Oryzias latipes: one gene and its partner. The protein of the gene in region 2 interacts with the protein of the main gene of each other region in a pairwise test. Links are inferred from orthologs where the notes say so. Each region holds a gene or a part of one and is shown on either strand. Other genes may lie near its edges.

The links.
Region 1: the proteins of numb-like protein (region 2) and SPRY domain-containing SOCS box protein 3 interact in binary tests that used the Homo sapiens proteins (3 or more experiments, as listed by UniProt). The two-hybrid records come from large-scale screens. The link is inferred for Oryzias latipes from reciprocal best matches to the Homo sapiens genes NUMBL and SPSB3.

Annotation. Positions count from the first base shown.
Region 1 is NC_019866.2:14,628,282-14,632,836, reverse strand, and holds the start of SPRY domain-containing SOCS box protein 3, read right to left. Parts: upstream 2,958-4,555; 5' UTR 2,741-2,957; exon of another isoform or gene 2,740-2,740; intron 1,176-2,739; 5' UTR 1,089-1,175; coding exon 963-1,088; intron 60-962; coding exon 1-59.
Region 2 is NC_019871.2:18,103,779-18,108,178, reverse strand, and holds the start of numb-like protein, read right to left. Parts: upstream 2,825-4,400; 5' UTR 1,618-2,824; coding exon 1,550-1,617; intron 38-1,549; coding exon 1-37. UniProt on the Homo sapiens protein: Plays a role in the process of neurogenesis. Required throughout embryonic neurogenesis to maintain neural progenitor cells, also called radial glial cells (RGCs), by allowing their daughter cells to choose progenitor over neuronal cell fate.

The DNA of each region.
Region 1 (4,555 bases), on a different chromosome or scaffold from region 2:
CTGGGAACGGGTAGACGCATCACAGGTGAGAACTCAGCCTCCGAATCGGAATCACTGTACTGGGACACAAACCAAAGACCATTTTTATGTTTCATATGGAGAGTTCACAATACATCGAGGTGTAAAAATGAAATACTATTTGGTGTCCTAATGATTCAGGATCATTTTATATGTTAAGTAAATCCTTCACAGGATCAATTAAAAACAGCAGTTTTCCCAATTTAACATCTAGGATTAATTCCTCCATAATTTTGAACCAAATATAAAAAAAGTTTGACAACTTTTTACTATTACAACGGTTACATGGAAAACAGTATTTATGCATACTTTTAGTAGTGTTACCATTAAAAATTAAAGTGCTGAAGGCATAAGTGTGCACAAATGTACTTGGGATCTGCAGACCTCTTTATGGAGTTTTCAAGTTCAACTTTTGTCCGTTATACCACTGGTGGTAGCTGTTAATTAAAATATTGATAAATGACTAAAAAAAGGCTGTTTTATAAAAAAATAAAACAATTTAAGACCTGATATGCCCTCATTTACCCTTTTTAGCCAAGACAAAAACAGCTTAGGGGCAAGTAAAGTGTCGTGCTGAAAATAAATCACACCATTGTTTATTGTTGTTTTTTTCCTGAGTGGAAAAAAAATAACTTAAAGCAATAAACAGCAGAAGCTTTTATTAAATGCCTGCAGCAGTCACATAAACAAGTGTTCACTGTTCCAAGAGAAGCAAAAAACAAGAGACAAGAAGCCTGTGGCACATTTGTTCCAGTGCTGTTGACAAAATGTCACTCCACTTCCAAAATGATCTCTTTACTTACCAACCACTTAGGTTTGCTAATAATTTAATGTCACCCAGTTAAAGTCTAAATGCTAAATGTTGTTTTACTGCTGCTACAGTATGCTTCTCAGTCATTAGTGAAATCGAAACAAAGCTGATTGTTAAATAAATGTATGTTTACCTCAAAGCGTTCATAATTCCAGTCCTCGGTTTCTGAGGCCAGGACTAAAGCCCGGGCATCGGCGTCCCGCCGTATCCCACCCCAAACGTATCGCCATGCACGGCTGTTCCTGTTCCGCCTCGACATGGCAGCAAAGCAGTTTCACAAGCCGGGGAAGTTACCGTACAGTCACAGTGTGGTCCAAGTGACTGGCATGCATAAGCCCAGCCGCTGAAAGACAAATACAGTATTGCACTTATAGCAACAACTTTAGTTTTTGTTTTTTATCTCAACTTTAAAAAAATTGAAAGCACTGAACAATTTAAACTCCCACTCCGATTATCTTTTGTGCTTTGCAAAAGCGTTCCAAGTGGTCTTTTATTTATGATTAAGCCGTTTTAAGCCATAAATTAAGACACCTGTACTGTTAGTAGTTCCCCTCTGAATTGTAAGCGGGGTAGGCCTGTCCTTCCTCCAATTATCCATCTATTTACACGTTCTCCCACCAGCTTACAGCCCCCAACACCCCCAACCTGACATTACTGGTTTCGCAAAAACAGAGAGCAATATTGAAGCCGTACAGTTTGGTCTACAAGTGGATGGATCAGAATGGAGCAGAGCAGGCAGCTCGTGGCCCGCCGCTGTAGCATCTATGTCACTGCTACAAGCTTCTTCCTAAGCACTGTTTGTCTGCTCCTGATTCAATACAATTTGAATGAAGAAAATACTTCCAAATACAATTTTGAGATAATTTTTCTTTGTATATGTTCTCCATCATCAGGTAAATGCCACAAGAATATGTCAAAAACACCAAGAACATAATTTTCATGGAGTGGGTCTTTAAGCCTCGGATTTTAGTTATTCAATTTGCAGCATATTTGTTCATTTTAAAGAATAACATGAAGACGTAGAGCAGTTTACTTCCAGTTCACCAGAGAAGCAGTCCTGCTTCCTTAAGTAGATTTGGATTAAGTGGAATCTTACTGATTTAATAAACTAATCAGGCACCCTTAAGTTATATTCTATATTGTAAAACGTTTAGGACAAAATTGGGCCAACTCTTGCAGGGTTTTTTTCCGTGTTGTCCTAGTTTTAGCTTGAACTCAATGTGTCTGCTTAAATATATATAGATTTCACAATATCCGCTTTTTCTTTTTGGCACACTTTCCCCTGCATTCGCTACTTTAATGTCAAAACCAGCAAACAAAGTACAGTGAGATCAACTAAAACACGTATTAGCACAAATTTATTTGAGTCACATTTTGCTCGCCACTGTCTTTACTGACAAATGTTGGGAAAATACTTGGAAATGTTTAGCCTAGTTTCAAGTTAGGATTCTTTTATAGTTTAGGAACCAGCAACCAATTAAAAAATACGTATGTTTTTGCAGAATTAGTAGCACATAGCTACCCAGGTTTTAAAATATATATAATAATGCAACTAAATTATTTTCTTGGTTAAAATATAACAGATAAATCGTGGTTGCAGCAAAACAAAACATCTCATCGATGCGCGGTTATGTTTTGCTAGCTAGCTTTAGTTGGCTACATAGGCAAGCTAACAGGAGCAGCTAACCCCAAATACAGTGAGCCACGCATGCATACAATTGATATTTGTTAACATCACGGCGGCAAAGAGGGTTAATTTGCATTATTTAATATTTAAAACAAATTAACGCTTTTTGCGACTTATAATGGAAGTATTGTTGTGTTGGTGATGCAAATGTGAACGTTTTTGAAAAAGAAGCTTAGCTAGCTGTGTGTGTGTGTGTGTTCACAAAATACGGGGGTCGTGTTACCTTTTTTGCTTTAGTTCTCCAGCATCACGTTCATTTGACCCAAAAACAAAGCTGTACCGACTCCGCGGACTTCCGAATAATTACAACAGACAACTAGTTAAGCGGGAAGCGTCGGTTTGTTTTCCCATGACCTACTTTCCACTAGGAGTGTGTGACCGTAAACAGTGACAGGAATGGTAGGAGCAATGAGTTATATCGCTAGAGGAGACATCACGTGGTTCCTCATGGGAGGAGAGCACCGCCATCTTGGTGAGGTGAAGTCACTGCTGCACTGCATGCATTTGAACACATTTTTTTGCAAAATGCCAGTTCATTGTTGCGGGTTTCAACTGCCAAAATCGGAGAAATGAGTCCACGAAGGAGAAAGGCATAACATTTGACAGGTAAGTACCATATTTTTTTCTTTTAAAGCTGCAGGGGCTTCATTAATAGTACACATGTTTTTTTTTTAATAGTACACATGTTGACATGCATGAGGCTGCAGGGCTATTATCAACATGCTGCATGATGTACGTATAATTTGCCGTCGACTAGCAATAGTCTGGCTATGTTCAAAACATTTTGTGGAAACACATTTTGATAAGACTGGCCAGACTGTTCGCTTGAAACCCGGCCCCATACCATCTGTGTAACACCAAATTGATCACTCTATCTCTAATTCTCTAAATCACTCTTCATCTCTCTCTCTCTCTCTGTCTTTTAGGGTAAATCTGTTGTTAACCTTTGGACTTATTGTTGACTTATTATTGATTTATTATTATTATTTATTATCATTGACTTATTGTTATTTTATATTGTTATAATTTATTATTATCATTGAATTATTATTATTATTATTATTATTATTATTATTATTATTATTATTATTATTATTATTATTATTATTATTATTGACTTACTATTGACTTATTGTTGGGCTTTTCTAAATAATTGAAATTACATGTCAAAGAGCTCTAAAACTTCTAAATTCTTTGTAATAATTTTTTTTTATTTGTAAGAAGTCCTGCAACTATGCGAAGTTTGAGCTTTTGAGTCTGCCTGTTTGTCTTATTTAACAACAACAATAGCAACAATTTAGCTATTTGAAATTCTTGGATGTGCGATTGGATGTGCGATAACATTTATCGAACCCCTTAACCTGACATTTTGATATTTAAGATATGGGGGGGGGGTCAATTGTTATCTTGTTCTTTTATTAACTTTAATTGCTGGGGTATTTTATATTCAGTAGTAAGTAGATATAGAAATATACATACGTAAAATCACACGAGTCCTCCGTTTATTATTGTTCTTTTCTTCCTGCGGAACTAAAGTTGTCATTCGATTTACACGGACGGATCTAGTTTTGTACGGACAGCTAGCAAGAAGTGAGTCGTGTGCCGGTCTGAGGTCAAACAAACGCTCTACTGTCAACACCTTTGCAGGTAAATTAATGACAACATTTTCAGACATCACAGTGTATTTTTTTCTCCCATTGGGTTCTTAGCAGTTAGTTTTGAATAACGCTGAGATTGCGGAATTGTTTTTGCGGTCATGAAGCATCGCGTTTGTGCAACTCGCTAGCTGCTCCTGCTGCTGTTAGATATTTTTTCTTTGGCAGCAGAAGTTTGTGTACCTGAAACATGCTCTCATTTATTCTGGTAAATTTGAAAATATAAAAACTACATTCTTCGTACTGAAACTGGAAATGCAGCAATATTTAAGACTAATTTATTATGCTTCAAAAAATAACCAAGGCTCAAAAAACGATTAACGTCTGTGTCAGTGTAAATCTTTTGGATTAGTGATAAGTTAAGTCTTGCATTTCTATTGTTTT
Region 2 (4,400 bases):
AAGCTTGTTCATTTCCGGGGTCACGTGCTCCCTAGAACTGCAGACAGAAAGGTCCATTGGTTCGGTCTCCTGGCAAATACGACCAAACAGCGACAGATTCTCTCAAGACTCAAATGAAAGGCTTCATAGAAGATCATGAAAGTGGTGTGGGATGGCTTTTATTGATTAGCTTGAGCTGATTGTGCAGTAATCATCTGTAACTCCTGTTTATGGGCTTCAGTCTGGACCCTGACTAAGCTCTTATAATAATTATAATAATAATGGATTGGATTTATCTGTGCTTTTCCAGACACTCAAAGCTTTTACAATGTGTCCATTATTCATTCACTCCTCATTCATACTTGGTGATGGTAAGCTACTGATGTAACCACAGCTGCCCTGGGGCAGACAGACTGGGGCGTGGCTGCCAGTCCCTGTTCCACGAGCGCCTACGGCCCCTCTGACCCTCACCTGGGCATTCATACGCATTCACAAACCAGTGGAGCCACACTGGAGGCAAGGAGGGTGAAGTTTCTTGCCCAAGGACACGACGACAGTTGACTGGGGGGAGAGGAGATCTAACCGCCGACCATTCGAGCATTGGCCGACCTGCACAATCTCCTCAGCCACTGCCGCTTGTGTCAGACAAACTCAGGCTGCAGGTGGAACCAAACCACAATGTTGAGGACAAGAACGGAGATCTATGACTTCCAAGCTGCAGCTGCTTTCTTTCCTCCTGAACATCTACATCTGGACACCAGTTTGTCCAACTCCTGAGGTTTGCAGAAGACACCACCTTCTGCAGCTTTTATCACAAATGAAGAGGACCGAGGGGAGGCAAGTACAATCTTTATGTCTCTATGAACGTTGTTAGGTATATTTTCCTTTTTTAAAGGTATATGACGATAAAGTTGAGCTTCACATGTTCCCCCACTGGCCTGAGGTCTACCTCAAAAGCTTCCATGCCTATCCTGACATGTCACTTAGGCTACCATTGTAACCTGTTAGAAAGTCCTCAAAGGTTTTTCCAGCCAGCCCATCACAACCATCACTTGTGAGGACCCTCTAATGGACTGTGATAGGAGCAAAACCTTCTCAAGACCACCAAACAGGATCGCCATGCTTTCACAATTCTTCAGAGTAAAGCAAAATGAAAAGGTCTATGAAGGCAGAGAAAAGACACACACAAGCAAACACAAACAAACATTTCAGTTTTTCTCTGATCTGTTCTTCTCCTCCCTAATTAAAACCATTAAGATCTCTACTATAATTTATGTAATTGAATGCTATCAAATTATGACCTGTTAGAAAACCATAACTTCTGTTTTTCTTCTCCCACCTTCACACAATTTTGACATAAAAAGCCCAAAGACTTCAGCTGTAGTTAGATCTTTTTAGAGCTGAATCAGGAGGCACATTGTAGATTGACTCCATTGGTCTCAGAACAAGAAAAGGTGTTAAAACAGCAACAATAACAAAAAAAGTAAAAAAAAAACATTTTCTCTTGCTTTTTACTGAAGTTCTATTTGCTGAAAAATCCGAACTGATAGTAAGTTTGTCATTTTCTTACCCTCTAGGAGCTCTGAAGGCTTCCATCATAGGCATTCTGGCACAAACGCTACACTGAAGACATGTCATGATCTGCTCATTCAGAAGAACAACACTCCACTCTGCGCCGACACATGCTGTTCACGGGTTACATACTAATGTATGTGAGCACATCACTTCCCATAATCACTCCTGTTCCTCATGCGTCTCCCACAACCCGGAATGGTTGCATGCAAAGAGATCAAGTGGCTTTACTCATCCATGGCACATACACACACACACACTCACTCAAACACTTGTGCCAGTTATTTCTGGGTTTAGTGCCTGCTGACTGGTACCTGGCAAACTCCAGTCCTTTTGCTGCAGTTGTGTGTGACGGGAGAGCAAAAGCAAAATGATTCATAATGTCCCACTCAGAAGGCAGAATAGAGGGAAGAAGGGTGGTCATTTAATTGCTGTGTTACAAAAGACCAAAGAGGGGAATCTCCTGTAGCCACTTTTGTAATTTAGGGGTTACTTCCCCGAGTGCTCTGATTACCACGGGCACCACTATCCCCTTCACCTTCCAGGCTTTCTCCAGTTCTTTCCTGAGCCTCTGGCATTTCTCTCCTCTCATGTTCCTTCTTGTGGATGTTTTTTATTAATCACTTGGAACTGCCACATCCACCACAACGGCTTTCCTCTGTTCTTTATCCACCACTACAATATCTGGTTGGTTCGCCATTCCCATCCTGTCAGTCTGGATCTGGAAGTCCCACAGGATCTTTGCTCTCTCATTCTCTACCACTTTAGGAGGTGTTCCCATTTTGAACTTGGGGTTTCCAGTTCATATTCTGCATACATGTTTCTGTATATATTATTCCAGAGACTTGGTTGTGGCGCTCCATGATTGCTTTCCCTGTCAATATCTTACAACCTGCAGTTATATGCTGGATTCAAGAAGTTCCCTTAGACTAGCCAAATTAGAAGACCACTTTGAGACATGCCATTTTGTTTTATTGCAGGGGTCTGGAGACTCAGAAAACCAGTCAGTATAGGGGAGCTGGTTATTAAGAAAATTGTGCATTTTGTTGTAAACACACCAAATGTGGCATAGATGTACCTTAGGATCTGAAAAGTACTTTAGCCATGAGAAAATATGTAAAAATATATATATCACATATAATATACTGTACATATGATAGTGTTCTATAGGTACCCCTCAAGTTTAAGATTGCATTTTGTGCATGAACAGTCCATATTGTTGAGACTGGGACAAATGGACATATTTTTTTTTTTTTTTTTTTTTTTTTTTTTTTTTTTTATACACTGTATTTTATCCCACGAAGGGAAATTCTTTCTCCGCATTTGACCCATCCCCTTGGGGAGCGGTGAGCTGCAGCCGAAACCGCGCTCGGGAGGCAGTAGCGTTAAGGGTCTTGCCTAAGGACCCTCACTGGGTGATGTTAACTGCTCGACATTGATATGGTAATTGCCCCCAGTACCATTGCTCATTCCCCTCCGGGAATCGAACCCTGGTTTCCTGCGTGGTAGCTTCCCACCTTACCAACCGAGCTACCCAGTAACAATTGACAGCACGGCTGCGTTTTTACAACTGGTTGCCTTTTTGGATTATTCTCATGACTAATGTGCTTTTCTAAAATAGGGCATCCTAGGGTATATCCATGCCAAATTTGGTGCTGTACCACAAAATGCACAATTTTCTGAAATATCAACCTAACTGGCACCGCTAGTATCTGGTGTGACCACCATTTGCATCATGCAGACACTTGGTTGTGGCGCTTCATGTTTGCTTTCCCTGTCAATATCTTACACTCTGCAGTTATGTGCTGGATTGTTTTAGGCATTGTTTTCCGCATGCACATCTCCTTCACATAGAGTTGGTCAGGTTGTAAATTGTGGCCCATGGTGGCGGTGGGGTTAAGGTATGGGCAGGCGTATATTATGGACAAATAACACAGGTGAAAAAAGAAAAACGTCCAGAATGTCTGCATCGACCCCAGGTACCAAACCATTGGTATTCTTAGGAGACATTCAGTATCACTCATTTTTACAAGTGGATATTCTTTTCCAAACTATGTCAATTGAAACTATCGGCAAGAAATCAGTGAACTACTAATGGGAACATGGAGATTGCAAAACAATCCATGAGTCTTTTTTCCATTAGAGCTTCATCCATGAAAAGGTTGTGAGGTCACAGGTCTGTTACCAGAACATCCCAGCGCAGACTGGAGCCAACAACTGTTTATAAGATCTATTACCAGAAAAAACCTCAATCAGATCAATCTAGATCTTTAAGTTCATGTCATGAACTTAAATGGGAGCAAAAACATAAGCGTTGGGTTTATATTTTTGTTCTCTTAAATATCTTGCTACATTAGCATTTATCATTTGTGAACATTGAAACGTTGAGCTACTTGTTGCTTTGCAGTAAGCCTGAATTGTGATTTTTGAAGAATTAATTGACTCCACATTCTTTTAATCTAATCATTCTGAGCAGGAATACTTTAGTAGTAGCATTCCAACAGAACCTCCTCACATTTCTTCCATTTGTGTCTTGTTTCAGCAGGTGATTTCTTCCCAAGGTGCTTTGGTTCCACAGTGCATGGGGTAATCTGATCCGGCATGTTGTGTTTCATCGTCACTCAGTAACGTGAATGCTCATTATGTTAACTTTGGAATCAAACCCTGTCTTCCGTCTGCTACTTTGGTGCTTTATCAATTGAGCTTTCAAGACTAAATACAACAGTCAGAGGTTCTGGTTGTTTAACCTCAGCTAAATCAGCAGGTTTAGGGGAGTGAATTATAAGGTTGACCTTTCAGTCTCTCTGAAAAACTTCATCATAAGGCTGCCAATTTCAGATTTACTAGGT